4 linked regions of the Callithrix jacchus genome follow. The protein of the gene in region 3 interacts with the protein of the main gene of each other region in a biochemical or structural test. Links are inferred from orthologs where the notes say so. Each region holds a gene or a part of one and is shown on either strand. Other genes may lie near its edges.

Region 1 (4,095 bases), on a different chromosome or scaffold from region 3:
GTCAGCCACGCCCATCTTACCACCAAGAGCAAGACTGTCAGCGCCAGGCAGCTGCTCTCATCCCAGACCCTGACCCTTTCTCCGCCTTTCCCCACCTCGTCAATGGGTCTGGGGTTGTGGGTCTGGATCCACAACCAGGCCAGATCTGAGGGAGCCGGACCCCGCCGCTGCCAGCAGCAGACTGATACGCTGGCTAGTGGGAAGGGGGCTGTCTTGCCTTCTAAGGACCAGACCTGGGGCTAGGATTGTTCCCAGATACAGCCAGGGGAGGGTGGCCTTCCTGGGTCATCCACCCTGCCTCTCCCTGACCACCGGCAACTCCATGCGACACGTGGAGACGAGGAGGCAGACTGGTCTCTCCAGCTGCCTTAATAAATGAGCTCCTAGGGCTTCCTGTGAGGCAAGCTGGGTTCTGGGCTCTGGGGCCACAAAGATGAAGGCACAGTTGGGGCTTCAGGACAGCAGCTCCCAGTGCACAGAGAAAGACCTAGCTCTCCTCTGCCTGACCCTCCACCTCAGTAGCCTTGGTGACCATCGTGACCACAGCTATGGCTCTGGTGCTGTTATTTGATAAACTTTATTTTTTAAGAGACAGGGGTCTATGTTACCCAGGTTAATCTCGAACTACTAGGCTCAAGCGATCCTCCCATCTAGGCCTCCCAAAGTGCTGGGATTACAGGCGTGAGCCACCTCACCCAGCCTATAAAATTTATTTTTTTATTTTTTGTAGAGATGGGGGGTCTCCCTATGTTGTCCAGCCTGGTCTCGAATTCCTGGGCTCAAGCGATCCTCCTGCGTGAGCCAGCCACCTGGCCTGATAAACTCCCTTTGTTAGTGATACTATTAAATACATACATACAGAAAAGCACACAAAAGGATGCAGGTGAATGTCAGAAAGAGAACATACCGAAGTCACCACCACACTGCAGCAGAACTGTTGCTCCATCTCATCTCTACCGCAGCTGCAATTCCGTGTCCGGAGCCGCGTGGGGCCGGGCCTGTGCAGGAGTTGGGGAGACGGTTAAGCCGTAGAGAGACTCGGGGAAGAGGCAGACCTCATGATTCTCCCAATACTCCTTGTCCCCAAGAAAGCAGCCATCGTGACTCGCTCGGACACCTTTAAAAGAGATTAGAAGTGAAGAGGGGTCAATGTGGGGCTTTCGCTCAGGCCTCACTTGGCTGTCAGGGACCAAGAGACAGGACAGAAAAGTCTGGAAGCTAAAGGCAGTGGGGGAACAGAGCGGGAAGACTACAGCTCCCGTCGTGCGCTGCGCAACGACGCCTGCGTACTGAGCGCCGGTTGCCCACGCGGCCCTAGGGCTGGGAGCGCGGCGCCGCTCTCCGTTGCGGGGGAGGCCATGGCGGAACCTTCCCAGGCCCCGACCCCGGCCCCGGCTGCGCAGCCCCGGCCCCTTCAGTCCCCAGCCCCTGCCCCAACTCCGACTCCTGCACCCAGCCCGGCTTCAGCCCCGACTCCGATTCCCACTCCGGCACCAGCCCCTGCCCCAGCTGCAGCCCCAGCCGGGAGCACAGGGACTGGGGGGCCCGGGGTAGGAAGTGGGGGGGCCGGGAGCGGGGGGGATCCGGCTCGACCTGGCCTGAGCCAGCAGCAGCGCGCTAGCCAGAGGAAGGCGCAAGTCCGGGGGCTGCCGCGCGCCAAGAAGCTAGAGAAGCTAGGGGTCTTCTCGGCTTGCAAGGTGGGGGCGGGGCCTGGGGTGAAGGGGCGGGGCTTGGGGCATCCCTGGGCTCGGGTGGGAATGGGGTCAAAGCTCTGGCTGCGGAATGGCTCTTGCCCCAGAGATATAGGTCACAGACTGATCCTTCCGCCTCCAGGCCAATGAAACCTGTAAGTGTAATGGCTGGAAAAACCCCAAGCCCCCCACTGCACCCCGCATGGATCTGCAGCAGCCAGCTGCCAACCTGAGTGAGCTGTGCCGCAGTTGTGAGCACCCCTTGGGTAAGGCAGGCAGCGCCTTTGGAGCTGGGGGCAGGTGCAGGGTCCTGCTTGGACAGGGTGACAAGTCCCACAAAGCCTCATCTCTGAAAAAAAATCAAAGATGCTTCCTAAGGAGGGATTGGGTTGGGGGTGTGCATGCATCAAGAAAGGGGAAAGGAAATCTCAGCCCAGAACAGGTCCAGGCAACTCAACGGTTGCTTTGGAGCAATTAGTCTCACTGTTGGTCACACTGGTTGGTGGGACGGAGTGTGTATCTTGGTTGGCTGTGAAGAGGGGCAAGAAGCCTTGTTGCTCTCTTCTATCAGTTTTTCCCAACTCTGCCACCTGTCTTGCAGCTGACCACGTATCCCACTTGGAGAATGTGTCAGAGGATGAGATAAACCGACTGCTGGGGATGGTGGTAGACGTGGAGAATCTCTTCATGTCTGTTCACAAGGAGGAGGACACAGACACCAAGCAGGTCTATTTCTACCTCTTCAAGGTGAGCTTCCACCTAAGGAGGGTGTGAGTGGGTGGAGGAGGTGGGGCCTTGAGGGGTTGTCTGTAGCTCTGCCCCGCTCCCTCCGCCTCCCCTTCCTCTTCTCTGCAGCTCCTGCGGAAATGCATCCTGCAGATGACTCGGCCCGTGGTGGAGGGGTCCCTGGGCAGCCCCCCATTTGAAAAACCTAATATTGAGCAGGTGGGATTGGGGAATTGGAGATAGTGGGTAGGAGAATTGGGGACAGCTTGGAGGAGTGGGAAGCCTGTGTTCTCCATCCTCAAGCTGAGAACATAGGGGAGGTTCAGAGAAGGGAGGGTGTTTTGTGCTAACCTCGGTGTGGTAGGGAGGGGGCAGAGCTTCTTTATAGAGAGCACCTGAGAGAGAGGAGCGATCCTTGTCCCTGGCCTCGGGAAGCATCTTCTTTTGTCTAAGAAGGCCCTGCGGGCTGCTCACACCTCATTCCTGGTTTTGTCCCCACCCACCCCTTCTCAGGGTGTGCTGAACTTTGTGCAGTACAAGTTTAGTCACCTGGCTCCCCGGGAGCGGCAGACGATGTTCGAGCTCTCAAAGATGTTCTTGCTCTGCCTTAACTACTGGAAGCTTGAGACACCTGCCCAGTTTCGGCAGAGGTCTCAGGCTGAGGACGTGGCTACCTATAAGGTCAATTACACCAGGTAGGCTCAGCTGGGGGCAGCGTCAGGGCAGGCTTGCAGGCTCAGCCTGGGTTCCGTGGTTTCCACCCTCACCTGTTTCCCCTCTGCCCCCTACTTTAGATGGCTCTGTTACTGCCACGTGCCCCAGAGCTGCGACAGCCTGCCTCGCTATGAAACCACTCATGTCTTTGGGCGAAGCCTTCTCCGATCCATTTTCACTGTCACCCGCCGGCAGCTGCTGGAAAAGTTCCGAGTGGAGAAGGACAAATTGGTGCCGGAGAAGAGGACCCTCATCCTCACTCACTTCCCCAAGTAAGGCTCCTTCTGGCCTATCAGGATTTGGCACCAAGTTCACTTCCTCCCTGTTGTCCCCTTTTTTCCAGGAAGGCTTCCTGGATTGGTCCCTCCTCTCCCTCCATGGGCCTTCTGGGATCTGGGCGTCTACCTGGCAGACTTGCCCATGGCCCAGAAGCAACTTGCTAGTACTAGTCTGGGGATGGCAGGTACATGGCCTGAGCTAACGCTGCCCCCCTCACCCCACGCCCCGGTAGACATTACTAATTATTTCCCATGGGGGCCTGGACACAGCCTCAGACTCCTTCCCTGCACAGTTCTCCAAGAAAGCAGAGCTTATGCTTGAAGTGAAACCCTTTTCCACTCCTATTCTTGTCTTTTCTGTACCGTGTTCTTCTGTTTGGCCACACCTTTTACAATCTGGGCCATAACTCCCCTGTTCAAAAAGCCTTACTGACTAATCCTGTGCCCTGGATTAATCCTCTAGTGCCCCCTGCCACCAGGTGGGAACAAAAAAAGGCAAGGTGGGGTGGAGTCTGAGCCCATTTTGATACTGAGGGCAGTGAGGGGACTCAGGGTGACAAGGTGTCCTGCCTGGCCACACAGCACAGGATGACATCAGCTCCGACCTGTCTCCTTGTGCTGCCCAGCATGGCGAAACTGAGCCTCTTTGATCTCTGTTCTGGATGTGTCCTATCCTCTTACCTTCA
Region 2 (3,966 bases), on a different chromosome or scaffold from region 3:
AAGACAGGACTGTTGGGGAGACAATGAAGGAAGAACGCAAGTGTTCAGTGTAACTTTTCTTCAAGTCTCTTCACACTCACCACATGCAGATCTGGGGCCGGGGCAGCGGCGGCTGCGGAAAGAAAGCGAATTGGGGAGGCAGAGCTACGGTGTCCTGGCCCATGGCAAATCTCCAGCGGGCACAAGAACGCGCTGTATGTAACTTGCTATCTCAAGGACTTAGAAGGAGAGGCGCGGGCAAGGGCGGGCTTCAGCAGGCCCCAAGTGCTCTTCGCGAGCACAGTAACCACGAGGGTCACACACCCCTGCCTCTCCTCGTCCAGGCAGCCCGGGAGACGTCCCGAACGTTAGTAAACATAATGACGTGTGGGGCCTGCGGGGGAACCTGTTTATAAATATTCACGAGCGGACCAGACTGTCCTGCCCTCACCGGGAACAAGTTGGCTCCACGGTCTTCATCCGCTTTTGCCGCCACCGCCGCCGCCGCCGCCGCTGTCGACTGGTTCCGTATATTTGCTCGCGTCCGCGCGGCTGAACCACGCACTGATCTGCGATCCTTCCCGGCTTCCCGCCGCAGCTCGGAGAGGTGTTCAAGCTCCGACTGCACCCTCATTCCCAGGAAGTGGCTGGCTTTGCGGTTGAGCATCTCGCCGCTCTTACTGTGCTGCAGGACGCCCCGAGCTCCCGCCCCTCGGTTCCGGGACAGCCAGTTCTCGGTCTGCGGCTGCCAAGGCCGGGCGCTCGCCTCGGTCTGGCCAGTCTGCTGGCGGAGAGGCGCGGCGGGGCCAATCCGTTGGGGCGTCTCCCTCTGTCTCAACGGCGACGGTTGCCAAGGGTGCTTGCGAGGGAAGGAGGGCGGAAAATGCAGGCTCACGCCAGTAGCGAACGCGCAGATACGTAAGAAGTTGCGAGCGCCCACCTGGGCGCCCTCTCGTCCTAGTTGCCGGAAGTCTTCTCCAAGCTGGGAAGTGGGAGCGCGGTGTCAGTTACCATGGGAACTGCCTCTCGGCCAATCACCGAGAGAAAGAGGAGGTGTTTGGGAAGAAGCCAAAGCACCCGAGAGGTGGGACCAAGTGTAACCAATAGATTCAGAAGATAAAGACGTTTCCTCACATCCGGTGCTGCCTCTGGCGCCGGCGTTCTGCGCACCGGGGGGCGGGGAGGCCAGTGACGTCCGGTGAAATCCAAGATGGCTACGCTAGACTGACCCTGTTGCCGGTGAGGGCTCTGGCGCCGGCGGGGGCGGGATCCAGCAGGTGTTCGCGTAGTGGAGGTTATTTAGGGTTGTAGAGCACCAGCAGTTCCCACATCTCTGCTCCCTGTCTTCTGCAGGTGACGGAAGTACTGCCTTCTCCCGCCTGACGCCCCTCAGAGGACCCTGCGCCGCTCCTGCCGCTGCGGCCATGTCTGGGCCAGGCAACAAACGCGCCGCCGGCGACGGGGGCTCAGGGCCTCCGGAGAAGAAGTTGAGTCGTGAGGAGAAGACCACCACCACTCTTATCGAGCCCATTCGTCTGGGAGGCATCTCTTCCACGGTTCGTGGGCTCTTGCCTTAACACTCAGAACTTGTCAGAGTCCTCCTATTCTCTGCCTAAACTGTCCAGAGTCTTAAACCCACTTCCCCTCGTTTAGCAAGGTACGCGTTACGAGATATACAAGATACTCTGTTGAAAGAATCTGAGAACACGACGCCTGTCTTCCCTTTACAGATAGGAAAACAGGTTCCCAGAGGGCGTGTGATTTGTCAAAGACTAAGGAGTTAGAAGGGGCCAGGCAGAAAACAACGAGAGCCTCCTCACAACCAAGACACTTTCGCTGTGGGTTGTCTGAACCTCCTTAGATTCTGTTAGCGGTTAGTCTGGGAAAACCCCCATCTCCCATGCATTCCAGATGCTTTGCTCCTCTGTCTCTGTGATTGGTTTCTTGGCCCTGCTTGACCCTCTCTCTCCTACTTGACCCCTTTGTTTCCCTTGGTAGGAGGAGATGGACCTGAAGGTACTACAGTTCAAGAACAAGAAACTGGCAGAGCGGTTGGAACAGCGACAGGCTTGTGAAGATGAACTCCGAGAACGAATTGAGAAGCTGGAGAAGCGGCAGGCCACAGATGATGCCACACTCTTCATTGTCAATCGCTACTGGGCCCAGGTGGATGCCTTCTGCTTTCCAAGACCAGGCCTTGATTTAGCTGCCAATCTTCAGATTCCCCTGCTGGGAAAGCAGTATCATGCGGGAAAGCACTGAGGTATTCATAACCTTTTTGATTCTTTCTCCTTTCAGCTGGATGAAACTGTGGAAGCCCTTCTCCGATGCCATGAGAGCCAGGGGGAGCTGTCTTCAGTGCCTGAGGCACCTGGGACCCAGGAGGGGCTAACATGTGATGGGACTCCTCTTCCAGAGCCAGGAACATCAGAGTTGAGGGGTAGGACCAGAGTCCTGGGTTCTGGGGAGCTTAAGTTCTGGGAAAAGCCCTGGGGAGGAGGGGACTTTGGTGTTGAGCGCCTGAATTTGTTGCCTTACTACTCCCCACGAAATGGATTTCATATTTGGGCAGTAAAGTGCAGTGCACAAAAACACAGCCTTTGGAGTCTAACTTGGTTTGTAGAGCAATTTATGTTTTGACACCCATTTGTTTCAAAACAGTATTACTGTTGAGCATTGACTATGTATTTGACGCTGCTTTAGAAATGAGTATTGCAATTGCTATGAGGGAGGAATTATCATAAACATAGTAAGCAAAAAGTACTGGGGCTCCCAAAAGGGAGTAACTGTGTGCATGCATGTGTGTGTTTGTGAGTTCGTAATTTACAATGGGAAAGTACAGGAGGCTTCCCTGAGGACATGTTACACAGCTCTGTAGCTTTGGTGGTAACTGTCCCTCAGGAGGCTTCCATAAGTACATGATACAGGAGGCTTCCCTGAGAACATGATATGCAATTCTGTAGCTTTGGTGGTAATTGTGCCTCAGGACGAAGGACAGACATCCACCTCCGAGGCCCTTCCTGGTCCTGGTAATTTTGAGGAAATTATTTATGTCTCTGAACCTCATTTGTCTCACTTTTAAGATGGAGATAATAGTTGTGTTGATTAAGTGAGTCATGAGTATGGAAGGGCTCAGTCTGAAACTTGGTACAGAGTGGTGATAACTACTGCTTATCCTCATGAGGGTCTGTCCATTCCTCCCAGAGCCCTTGCCAATGCAGCTGCGGCCCCCTCTCAGTGAGCCGGCCTTGGCTTTTGTGGTGGCACTGGGTGCCAGCAGCAGTGAGGAGGTGGAGCTGGAGCTGCAAGGCCGAATGGAGTTCTCCAAGGCAGCTGTGTCCCGTGTGGTAGAGGCCTCAGACCGCCTACAGCGCCGGGTGGAGGAACTCTGTCAGCGAGTGTACAGCCGAGGTTGGTTCTTTATACCCATACTCAAGAGGTGTCCATCTCCACCTGCATCTTAATGGCATTCCTTCCCAATTCCCCTAAGGCCTGAGTCCAAGGGTGGCCAGAATTTCCCAAGGCATAAATAAGCCATGTGTTTGGGAGGATAAGTTAGGCTATAAATGGAGGCTCCAGCTTTGATTCCTGGATTGAATGCTAGAGAGATGGGTTGGAGGAGTTGTTGATGCTGGTAGAACCTCTCTGGAGTACTTTGTGCGGGTTGCACATGGCATAGCATCAAAGCCTCAGGTCTTTCAGGTTGACAGGCTTCTCCCACTTGAGTTCTGCCACCCTCACCTGGACATGCTGGGAAAGTGGCTCCCCTCTTTGAGCTGGTTTCCTCTGCTGTGCAGTGGGGATAAAGACTCTTGACTTTGTCGTGAGAAATTGGCAAGACAGCTGATCGATCGCACTGGGCACATAGCAGACTCCAGAATAAGTTAGTACTTTGCCCCATTGCCCTGAGCTGGGCTCTTACCTGGGCCCTGCCTTTCCAGGGGACAGCGAGCCCCTCAGTGAGGCAGCTCGGGCACGCACCCGAGA
Region 3 (4,122 bases):
TTTCTGCTTTCCTATTGGCTGTTGGATACGGCTCCGCTTTCAGCCAATCAAACGACTTCCCTTCACCCCTCCCGGTGGCTCTTATAAATTACATCAAATTGGTTATCCCTTCCACATTCTTCTCCTTGAAAAAGAAGCTGTGACTGCAATTTTAGCCGTAATGTCGGGACGCGGAAAGCAGGGGGGCAAGGCCCGCGCCAAGGCCAAGTCGCGCTCGTCCCGCGCTGGCCTCCAGTTCCCGGTGGGGCGAGTGCACCGCTTGCTGCGCAAAGGCAACTACGCGGAGCGGGTGGGGGCCGGCGCCCCAGTGTACCTGGCAGCGGTCCTCGAGTACCTGACCGCGGAAATTCTGGAGCTGGCGGGCAACGCGGCTCGGGACAACAAGAAGACGCGCATCATCCCTCGCCATCTGCAGCTAGCTGTGAGGAATGACGAAGAGCTCAACAAGTTACTGGGGGGTGTCACCATTGCCCAGGGCGGCGTCTTGCCCAATATCCAGGCTGTCCTGTTGCCCAAGAAAACGGAGAGTCACAAGCCTGGCAAGAGCAAGTAATAAATAGGCTTGACACCATACCCATTCACCCCAAAGGCTCTTTTAAGAGCCACCAAAGTGTCAAATGAAGGGCTGGTAACGAAACAGCGCATTAGCTCTTTTTTTGAAAACTTGGGTGGCTCTAAAAAGAGCCTTTGGTCTTTGGTTTGTCTGCATTTATTTGCTTTTGGCTTTGTGGCTTTCGGTTTTCTTTGGTAACAGAACGGCCTGGATGTTGGGCAACACGCCGCCCTGGGCGATGGTGACTTTGCCCAGCAGCTTGTTCAGCTCCTCGTCGTTGCGGATGGCCAGCTGGAGGTGACGGGGGATGATGCGCGTCTTCTTGTTGTCCCGAGCCGCGTTACCCGCCAGCTCCAGGATCTCGGCGGTCAGGTACTCCAGGACCGCCGCCATGTAGACGGGCGCGCCGGCCCCCACCCGCTCCGCGTAGTTGCCTTTGCGCAGCAGGCGGTGCACTCGCCCTACCGGGAACTGCAGGCCAGCGCGGGACGAGCGCGACTTGGCCTTGGCGCGGGCCTTGCCTCCTTGCTTGCCACGGCCAGACATGATTAAAACCAAGGCTAAACGCAGACAAAGCTCAGAACCACGCAACAAAATAAGATTGAAAGATCACCAAGAAGAAAGCCTTTATAAGCTTTCTTAGGGGTGGGGTCAAGGACGAGTTTTTCATTGGTCCTAATTTGGCTTCAGAGCCGGCCAATCAAGTCAAGAGTCGGTATCGCTACGTAGACGTTGCTGAAAACGCAAGGTCCACACACGGACCAATGGAAGTGAATTAGTTTCGGAGCCTTAATTTGCATAAGATGGTTATAAAAGGATCAGGTCCGCCCATTCTCTTACTTCTTTTCTTGGCTAAGTCGCGTTGGTACTGTGTCTTACCATGCCTGAACCGGCAAAATCCGCTCCTGCTCCTAAGAAGGGCTCTAAGAAAGCCGTCACTAAAGCCCAGAAGAAGGACGGCAAGAAGCGCAAGCGCAGCCGCAAGGAGAGCTACTCCATCTACGTGTACAAGGTGCTGAAACAGGTCCACCCCGACACCGGCATCTCGTCCAAGGCCATGGGTATCATGAACTCCTTCGTCAACGACATCTTCGAGCGCATTGCGGGGGAGGCGTCCCGCCTGGCTCACTACAACAAGCGCTCCACCATCACGTCCCGCGAGATCCAGACGGCCGTGCGCCTGCTGCTGCCCGGCGAGCTGGCCAAGCACGCCGTGTCCGAGGGCACCAAGGCGGTCACCAAGTACACCAGCTCCAAGTGAGTCCCTGCCGGGACCTGGCGCTCGCTCGCTCGCTCGAGTCGCCGGCTGCTTGAGTCCAAAGGCTCTTTTCAGAGCCACCCACCTAATCACTAGAAAAGAGCTTGTTCACTTACTCCCTTAGTTTTTTCTCACAAAGTAAGTTGTTTTAGCATAAGTCATGGGAAATAGCACACGTAGCTTAATCATTTGGAACTCGAGGTCCCCAGTGCATGATTGGATTTGCTTTTGAATCTAGAGCGTGTCGTTATTCATTGTGCTGCTTAGCTTTCCCAGGAGTCCGTTCTCATTTAGGGTGTTGGGAATCCGACTCTGCCCGCCCCCACCCCCGCCTTACACTGGCGCCCTGGTGGCTTCGTTGGGTCTGTTTCATCATTTCAAAACCAAGTGGCTGAGTCCGGCTGTTACTTAAGAGAACTCTGGGACACAATTCAGTCCGGGTGCCGCAAACTGCGTGACAGCGCTGTATGACTGACGCTTCGCAGCAGCTTTTGTGTCCGGTCACCAGTTTTGCCCTGGGATGGGGCCTCCTGTGGATGCCAGCCGTTCTGTGTACTTTGGACGAAGCCCGCGCAGCCGGGTCCCAGCCTTTTCCTGATTGGGCGACATGACTATTCGAAATTCTGCGCCGCTTTCTAATTTGTAGATTTCAGTTTCCGTGGTTCACTTTGAGATTCCTACTTCTCGGTTTGTGGATAATTTTTGCTTTTAATGGTGTCTGCTTTAAAATGGTAACGCTACGGCCCCGGGTCACTGCAAGACACCATGTAGATATGAGCTCAAAAGTCACCTCTCAGAGACCTTCTACGTCATCCACTCAGGAATTCGCGCCTCTCATAGTTCCCGGTCTCGTTTTATCTTCCTCGTAGCAGCTGTCTGAAATTGGCTCGTCTGTTTTCTTCATGGCATTCTCAAGCCCTTGACAGACCGGATGGTCTGGTTTTCCCGTGCCTCTTCAGCCAGTCAGTCTGGCACATTATGGACACTTACTTCAATACTACGGATTGAAGTAATATTGTTGGGTTAATTTTTCCATCCCACTTGTTTTTTAATCGCTTCTGTGGATGGATGATGGGTGCTGTTCATTTCCATTAGATGTACGTGAAGGCGCGGTGAAAATGGAAATGTTTTTGAAGTTATTCCCTCAAATGTATCCTTAGTCACTTCAGTGCAACAGCTGGGAGGGGGCCGTGTTAAGATTCTTTTGCATCAAAGAGGAGGTGGCAATGGTAGTTCCACCTTTGTGCTTCCCGGTTTAGCCTAACCTCCTTTGGATTTTCATCAAATTCAGCGTATTGGTCATGGGAAAGAGCCTTTTTCCTTCTTTTCTACTCCTGTCTTGGTGTTCCCTTCTTAAAGGAGAGGAGCTTTTAATTTGCACTCACCACCTGGTTTGGTTTTCAGGCGGCCATTCAAGATGGGCAGGACTACAAAGTTAATCTCTCTCTCTTTTTTTTTTTAAACAAATGAGGCCAAGAGAAGCCTGATTGGTCCATGGTCATGCAGTTCATACTGCCCACCTTTGTATTCTCAGATGCAGGACAATTGCATTTTAGTTTTATTTTGTGGAAGTGCAGAATATTTACTCTTTCTGTCAAACCCTTGATTCTGCCGAGGAACACACTGATGGTTTGATGAGTGATTCAACTCTACTTTTAGCTAAGGGCTTTGGGAGTTGATTGCAGGGGTTTGATGAATCCAAATGAGCTCTAGATATTATCACAGACTGAATAAATCTTAATTGTCTCCTACATGTGTGTTTTCAAATGTGTGTAGATGTTATTATTAATAAAGTTGCCAGTTAATTTAAAGTCTTTGCTGAATTATTTTATCTACAGTATATTTTCTCAATGAATGAGATTAACAGATACAACTTCCACTGGTTCTGTAGAAAAGCTTGGGAGCCTCTGAGCTGGGGGATGACTTGTTTATAAGCCACCAGCCAAACTGCTGCCCCAAAGGTGCATTGGGGCTTAAATAGTCTGTTAGAAGGTCACTGTTGGCTGGGTGCGGTGGCTCATGTCTATAACCCAGGACTTTGGGAGGCCAAGGCAGGCGTATCACAAGGTCAGGAGTTCGAGACCAGCCTAACATGATGAAAACCTGTCTCTATTAAAAAATTTTTTTAAAAAAAGGTCACTGTTAATGCTGAGTAATTGAAAAATATATGATCACAAATAGAAAGCAGTACAAATAAGATTGAAGAAATAAAGTTCATAATAAAGTTAAGCTAACACCTATGGAGCACTTACTATGTATCAGGCAGTGTTCTAGGTCCTTTATACATATTGACACATTTAATTCTCACCAG
Region 4 (3,995 bases), on a different chromosome or scaffold from region 3:
GAATACTTGAAGGCAAATACATGGCAAATGATTAATTAATGTTGCTTATTTTATCCTGTTTTGGGCACATGGGATGCCATCCCTGGGTGGCCCTGAAGGGTGGGTGCTCAGGTGTTAAGTTCTGTAGATGGAATATCCCTGGGAAAGGCAAGGCAATTAAAAACAGTGAGAGGTTGCTCTGGTTAAGTTTTCTCCTGTAACTTTCCCCAGGGGTCAACTGGGTAGAATCTGCCATTTTCCTAATATTCATTGATGGTAGTGGCATTCAGAAGCGCAATAGCTGAAGCGAGAACTCACAGTGGAGAGAAAGGTCTGTCTCTCAGGCCCCAGAAGAGGTTAAACATCTGTGGATGTCCAGTTTGGTAGTGCAGGCCCTGAAATCAGACCAACCTGGGTTTAAATCCCCAAACCTATACTCTAAGCTATGTGACCTTGGGCTAGATACTTCACCTCTCTGGCCTTATGAAATAGGAATAATAATAATACCTCTAGGTTGTTAGGAGTATTAAATGAGGTAAGGCACTGAAAACGTGTAGGCACTGTGTTAAATCATTAAATAAATAAAAATGGGGATGACCTTATAGGCTTGACATGGGGGATTAAATGAGATAATATATAAAGGCAAATACATGGCAAATGCTTAATTAATGTTGCTTATTTTTATGTCTGCAAACTGACGTAAAGGGGAGGCCTTTAAGAAAAACAGTGGGGCAATTTGCACGTTGATGCTCTGTAACAAATCCGAGGAGAGAATGTGCAGGGGGCCCGTTGGGACCAGAGTTCAACCAAGTAAGCGGCAGGAAACCACAAATGCCTCCAGGGGTTCTGGGGCAGCACCGCCTCACCAAAATCATACAGAACTTGGTTTGCTAAGAATCGTCAGCTCTTCTCATGGACGCGCTTCATGTATCTTTGTCGGTGAATTGGGGCCCAGGACCCAGGTAGAAGTGCATCGTGTACCGACTATTTCGTGCGCTCCAGTATCGCAGGAAGACAGCGTCGCCGACACCCTAGATACCACCGGACAACGCCGGGAGGCGCCTTTACCACTAGGCGGTTCCGGGTCCGCGCCCGACCGCGCCACTTGACTCGCGCCCCGAACCACGTGATCAGGGCCGTGGCTCCGCCCCGCTCCCGCGGCGCGCTCCGCTTCCGGTAGGGGCGGAAAGCGGAAGTGTGGGTGGGTCTGCAGGGCGGGCATAGGGAGGTCCGCGGGGAGGATGGAGCAGTGAGCGGGTCTGGGCGGCTGCCGGCAGCGCCATGGAGACGGTACAGCTGAGGAATCCGCCGCGCCGGTGAGGGGCCACTAGCTAAGAGGACAGGCAAGGGGGCGGGGGAAGAAAAGGCGGGAACTGGTTGCGGGGAGACACCTGTGTGGGAGTCCCCGGAGCGAAGCGACCCAGCTGATGGGGCACCTGCTGAGTGGGGGGGACGTCTGGTGGGTGAGGGTCCGGGCGAGGGGAGCATCTGCTAAGGGGATAGACTTGGGACCGGTGAGAGGGAACACTCGCTGCGGGGAGACTCTGCTGAGGAACGTGGGGACAAGTTAGGGAGAGTACCTGCTGAGGCCGGGCCACTCTGGGGAAGGCTGTCCACGGAGGTAACGGGGAGAATACCGAAGCAGGGTGAGAACCTGTGAGGGGTCTTTTTAAGGGGGCAGATCGAGAACTGGCCGAGAGGAAGGCCGGGTGGACTTTCTAAGGGTCCCAAGTCCCACTTGAGGGGTGCAGTTTTGGGGATCTGTGGAGAGGAACAGCTTTGCGCCTAAGCCTGAAGGCATGCGAAGAGAGTTTGAGGGTCTAGCAAGGGAGGGGAGGGTGGAGGGCAGCATTTGAGAGGATGCTGTTGGTGGTGACTCCACTGTAGGATGGCATCTTTTATTACTGATGTTCAGAGTGTCTTTCTGATGGTCTTCACGTTCTCCTCAGCCCTTCAGAACCTGACATTGGGAGGTAGGTGAGGAAATAAGAGGATATTTTCGAGATGGGCAGACCGAGGTCCAGAAGAGTTGGGAAACGTGTTTCCTTCTTTATTCCGGGTCACTGAACCCGGCCAGACTGTGCCCTTTTCAGACCTCAGTTGTTTTGTGTATATCAGCGCCAGATCCTAGTGGTACCTGGAATTGCTTTAGGTCAAGATCAGGATGGTGGCTGATCCTAGAAAATCTGAACTCCTGGATTTCCCCTCTGGACATTTCGGGTCGTTTACCACTCTGCCACATCTGAAGAAAAGTAGGGAGTAGAGACAGAAGGAGTCATGCTTCTCTGAGGTGCAGTGTGGTTACTTCTGTTTCATAGAGACGTCTGACTTCCTGCAGCAGAATGAACTGTAAAGAAGGAAGTGTTTAGGGTGTGGAAGTGCAGGACAACCGAGAGGTGAAGAGAAGGGATTGACTATCTGGACAGCACTCTTGGGGGTTGTTCGAGCTTAGGGGTGTTTGAAGTGCACAAACATTGCAGAAGGCAAATAGGTGGTTGGGATGGGCTTCGGATTCACCCTAGCTTAGTGTGCTGAGACTGTAGTAGTAATGGTTAATTACACTCATATTGCACTTACCAGGTGCCAGGCACTCTTCTAAGTGCTTTCCATGTCTCCTACTGAAGCATATGAAATTGCTGATATTTGACCATTTTTGAACCATAAAATGGTAACTTCATATGGTTCAATTTATTGACTCATTTGAACCTCACAACAATCCTGTGCGGTAGATATTCCTATATGTCTGTTTTACAGATGATAAAACTGAGATACAGACAGGGTAGTGATTTGCTTAGAGAAGTCATAGCGAGTAAGAGGCAGAGCTAGGATTTTAATATCTGTGGGGTCTGGTCCAAAGTCCATGCTTTTAACTGCCTCACTCTGATCCCTCTCTGAAAGTACCCCTGTTTCACAGGTCTCTGTGTATGTTAGCAAATATTTGCTATAGTACCACAGTGATCCAGTTACAAATGCACACTGGTTATGTTTCTTTCTGAACTATGTTTGTTCTTTCTCCTTGGTTTCTTTCTCTGAGGCCTTGTTTTAATTGAAAAGGGGATTAGGAATCTGAGTTTTGTTTCCCCCTTTGACTTGTGTTACATAATCTTGGGCAAAGGACTAAACTTTCTTGGCATGCTCATTCCTGTACCTTTTGGATTTAAAAAAAATGTATTAAAAGTGCAAGAGAAGAGCATTACAGGACTGAGTTCTTAAGTGACTGGTGATTCCCTGCTCATTATAACTAGTAGACTGCCTAATTTGAAGCAGATCAATTTTATTATCATTTCTATCAGTTTTTAGGACATGACAAAGTATCATGGACTGGGTGGTTTAAGCAACAGAAATTTATTTGCACACCTTTCTGAAGGTTAGAGATCTGAAATCAAGGCATTGTCAGAGTTGTTTCTTTTGAGGCCTTTGCTTGACTCGTAGATGGCTATGTCTCCATGTTCTTCCCTCTGTACTTGTCTGTGTCCTAATCTCCTCTTATAGGAACACTAGTCATACTGGATTAGGGCATGCCCATATGACCTCATTTTATCTTAATTACCTCTTTAAAGGCCTTATCTTCAAATACAGTCACATCCTGAAGTGGTGGGTGATAGGACTTCAACATATGAATTGGGTTAAGCTGGGGACACAGTTTTATTATCATTAAAAATTTTGTCAGCTTATCATATATATTTGTTGTAATCCATATCAAATTCTGTGTGGAAAAAGAGATAGTTATACATAAAATGAACTTTATGGGAGTTCTGAAATGGGAGAAAGCTTTGAGAATTAGCCAAACCTATGACTACTTCATAGACACCATTACTTGTATTTGGAAAGATGTTGGTGTCTTTCAGAAATTCAGATGGCATGTGTTTCCAACAACCCCAGTGCAGGAAATGCCTTTTGTGTTCATGAGTTTGACATTTGTATGTATGTGATTAAGTGAATGATGACAGATTGGTGTCTCATATAGGAATTCATAATTTTAAAAAGTGAGTTGTTATTAGATAATGGTATAGTGG

The links. The genes of interacting proteins can lie anywhere in the genome.
Region 1: of the proteins of H2BC21 (region 3) and KAT2A, one has a biochemical effect on the other in vitro, tested with the Homo sapiens proteins (2 studies listed by BioGRID). The link is inferred for Callithrix jacchus from reciprocal best matches to the Homo sapiens genes H2BC21 and KAT2A.
Region 2: of the proteins of H2BC21 (region 3) and RNF40, one has a biochemical effect on the other in vitro, tested with the Homo sapiens proteins (2 studies listed by BioGRID). The link is inferred for Callithrix jacchus from reciprocal best matches to the Homo sapiens genes H2BC21 and RNF40.
Region 4: of the proteins of H2BC21 (region 3) and STK4, one has a biochemical effect on the other in vitro, tested with the Homo sapiens proteins (2 studies listed by BioGRID). The link is inferred for Callithrix jacchus from reciprocal best matches to the Homo sapiens genes H2BC21 and STK4.

Annotation. Positions count from the first base shown.
Region 1 is NC_133506.1:91,110,911-91,115,005, forward strand, and holds the start of KAT2A (histone acetyltransferase KAT2A), read left to right. Parts: upstream 1-1,295; 5' UTR 1,296-1,358; coding exon 1,359-1,697; intron 1,698-1,833; coding exon 1,834-1,957; intron 1,958-2,292; coding exon 2,293-2,438; intron 2,439-2,546; coding exon 2,547-2,636; intron 2,637-2,930; coding exon 2,931-3,112; intron 3,113-3,211; coding exon 3,212-3,403; intron 3,404-4,095. UniProt on the Homo sapiens protein: Protein lysine acyltransferase that can act as a acetyltransferase, glutaryltransferase, succinyltransferase or malonyltransferase, depending on the context.
Region 2 is NC_133513.1:30,299,989-30,303,954, forward strand, and holds the start of RNF40 (E3 ubiquitin-protein ligase BRE1B), read left to right. Parts: upstream 1-1,166; 5' UTR 1,167-1,218; intron 1,219-1,332; 5' UTR 1,333-1,403; coding exon 1,404-1,535; intron 1,536-1,709; exon of another isoform or gene 1,710-1,852; intron 1,853-1,977; coding exon 1,978-2,145; intron 2,146-2,277; coding exon 2,278-2,419; intron 2,420-3,183; coding exon 3,184-3,390; intron 3,391-3,920; coding exon 3,921-3,966. Other genes in the region: CFAP119 (cilia- and flagella-associated protein 119), read right to left, coding at 81-112, 431-646.
Region 3 is NC_133519.1:9,820,310-9,824,431, reverse strand, and holds H2BC21 (histone H2B type 2-E), read left to right. Parts: upstream 1-1,391; 5' UTR 1,392-1,433; coding exon 1,434-1,814; 3' UTR 1,815-3,622; downstream 3,623-4,122. Other genes in the region: H2AC21 (histone H2A type 2-B), read left to right, coding at 161-553; H2AC20 (histone H2A type 2-C), read right to left, coding at 710-1,099. UniProt on the Homo sapiens protein: Core component of nucleosome. Nucleosomes wrap and compact DNA into chromatin, limiting DNA accessibility to the cellular machineries which require DNA as a template.
Region 4 is NC_133506.1:40,327,473-40,331,467, forward strand, and holds the start of STK4 (serine/threonine-protein kinase 4), read left to right. Parts: upstream 1-1,195; 5' UTR 1,196-1,260; coding exon 1,261-1,295; intron 1,296-3,995. UniProt on the Homo sapiens protein: Stress-activated, pro-apoptotic kinase which, following caspase-cleavage, enters the nucleus and induces chromatin condensation followed by internucleosomal DNA fragmentation.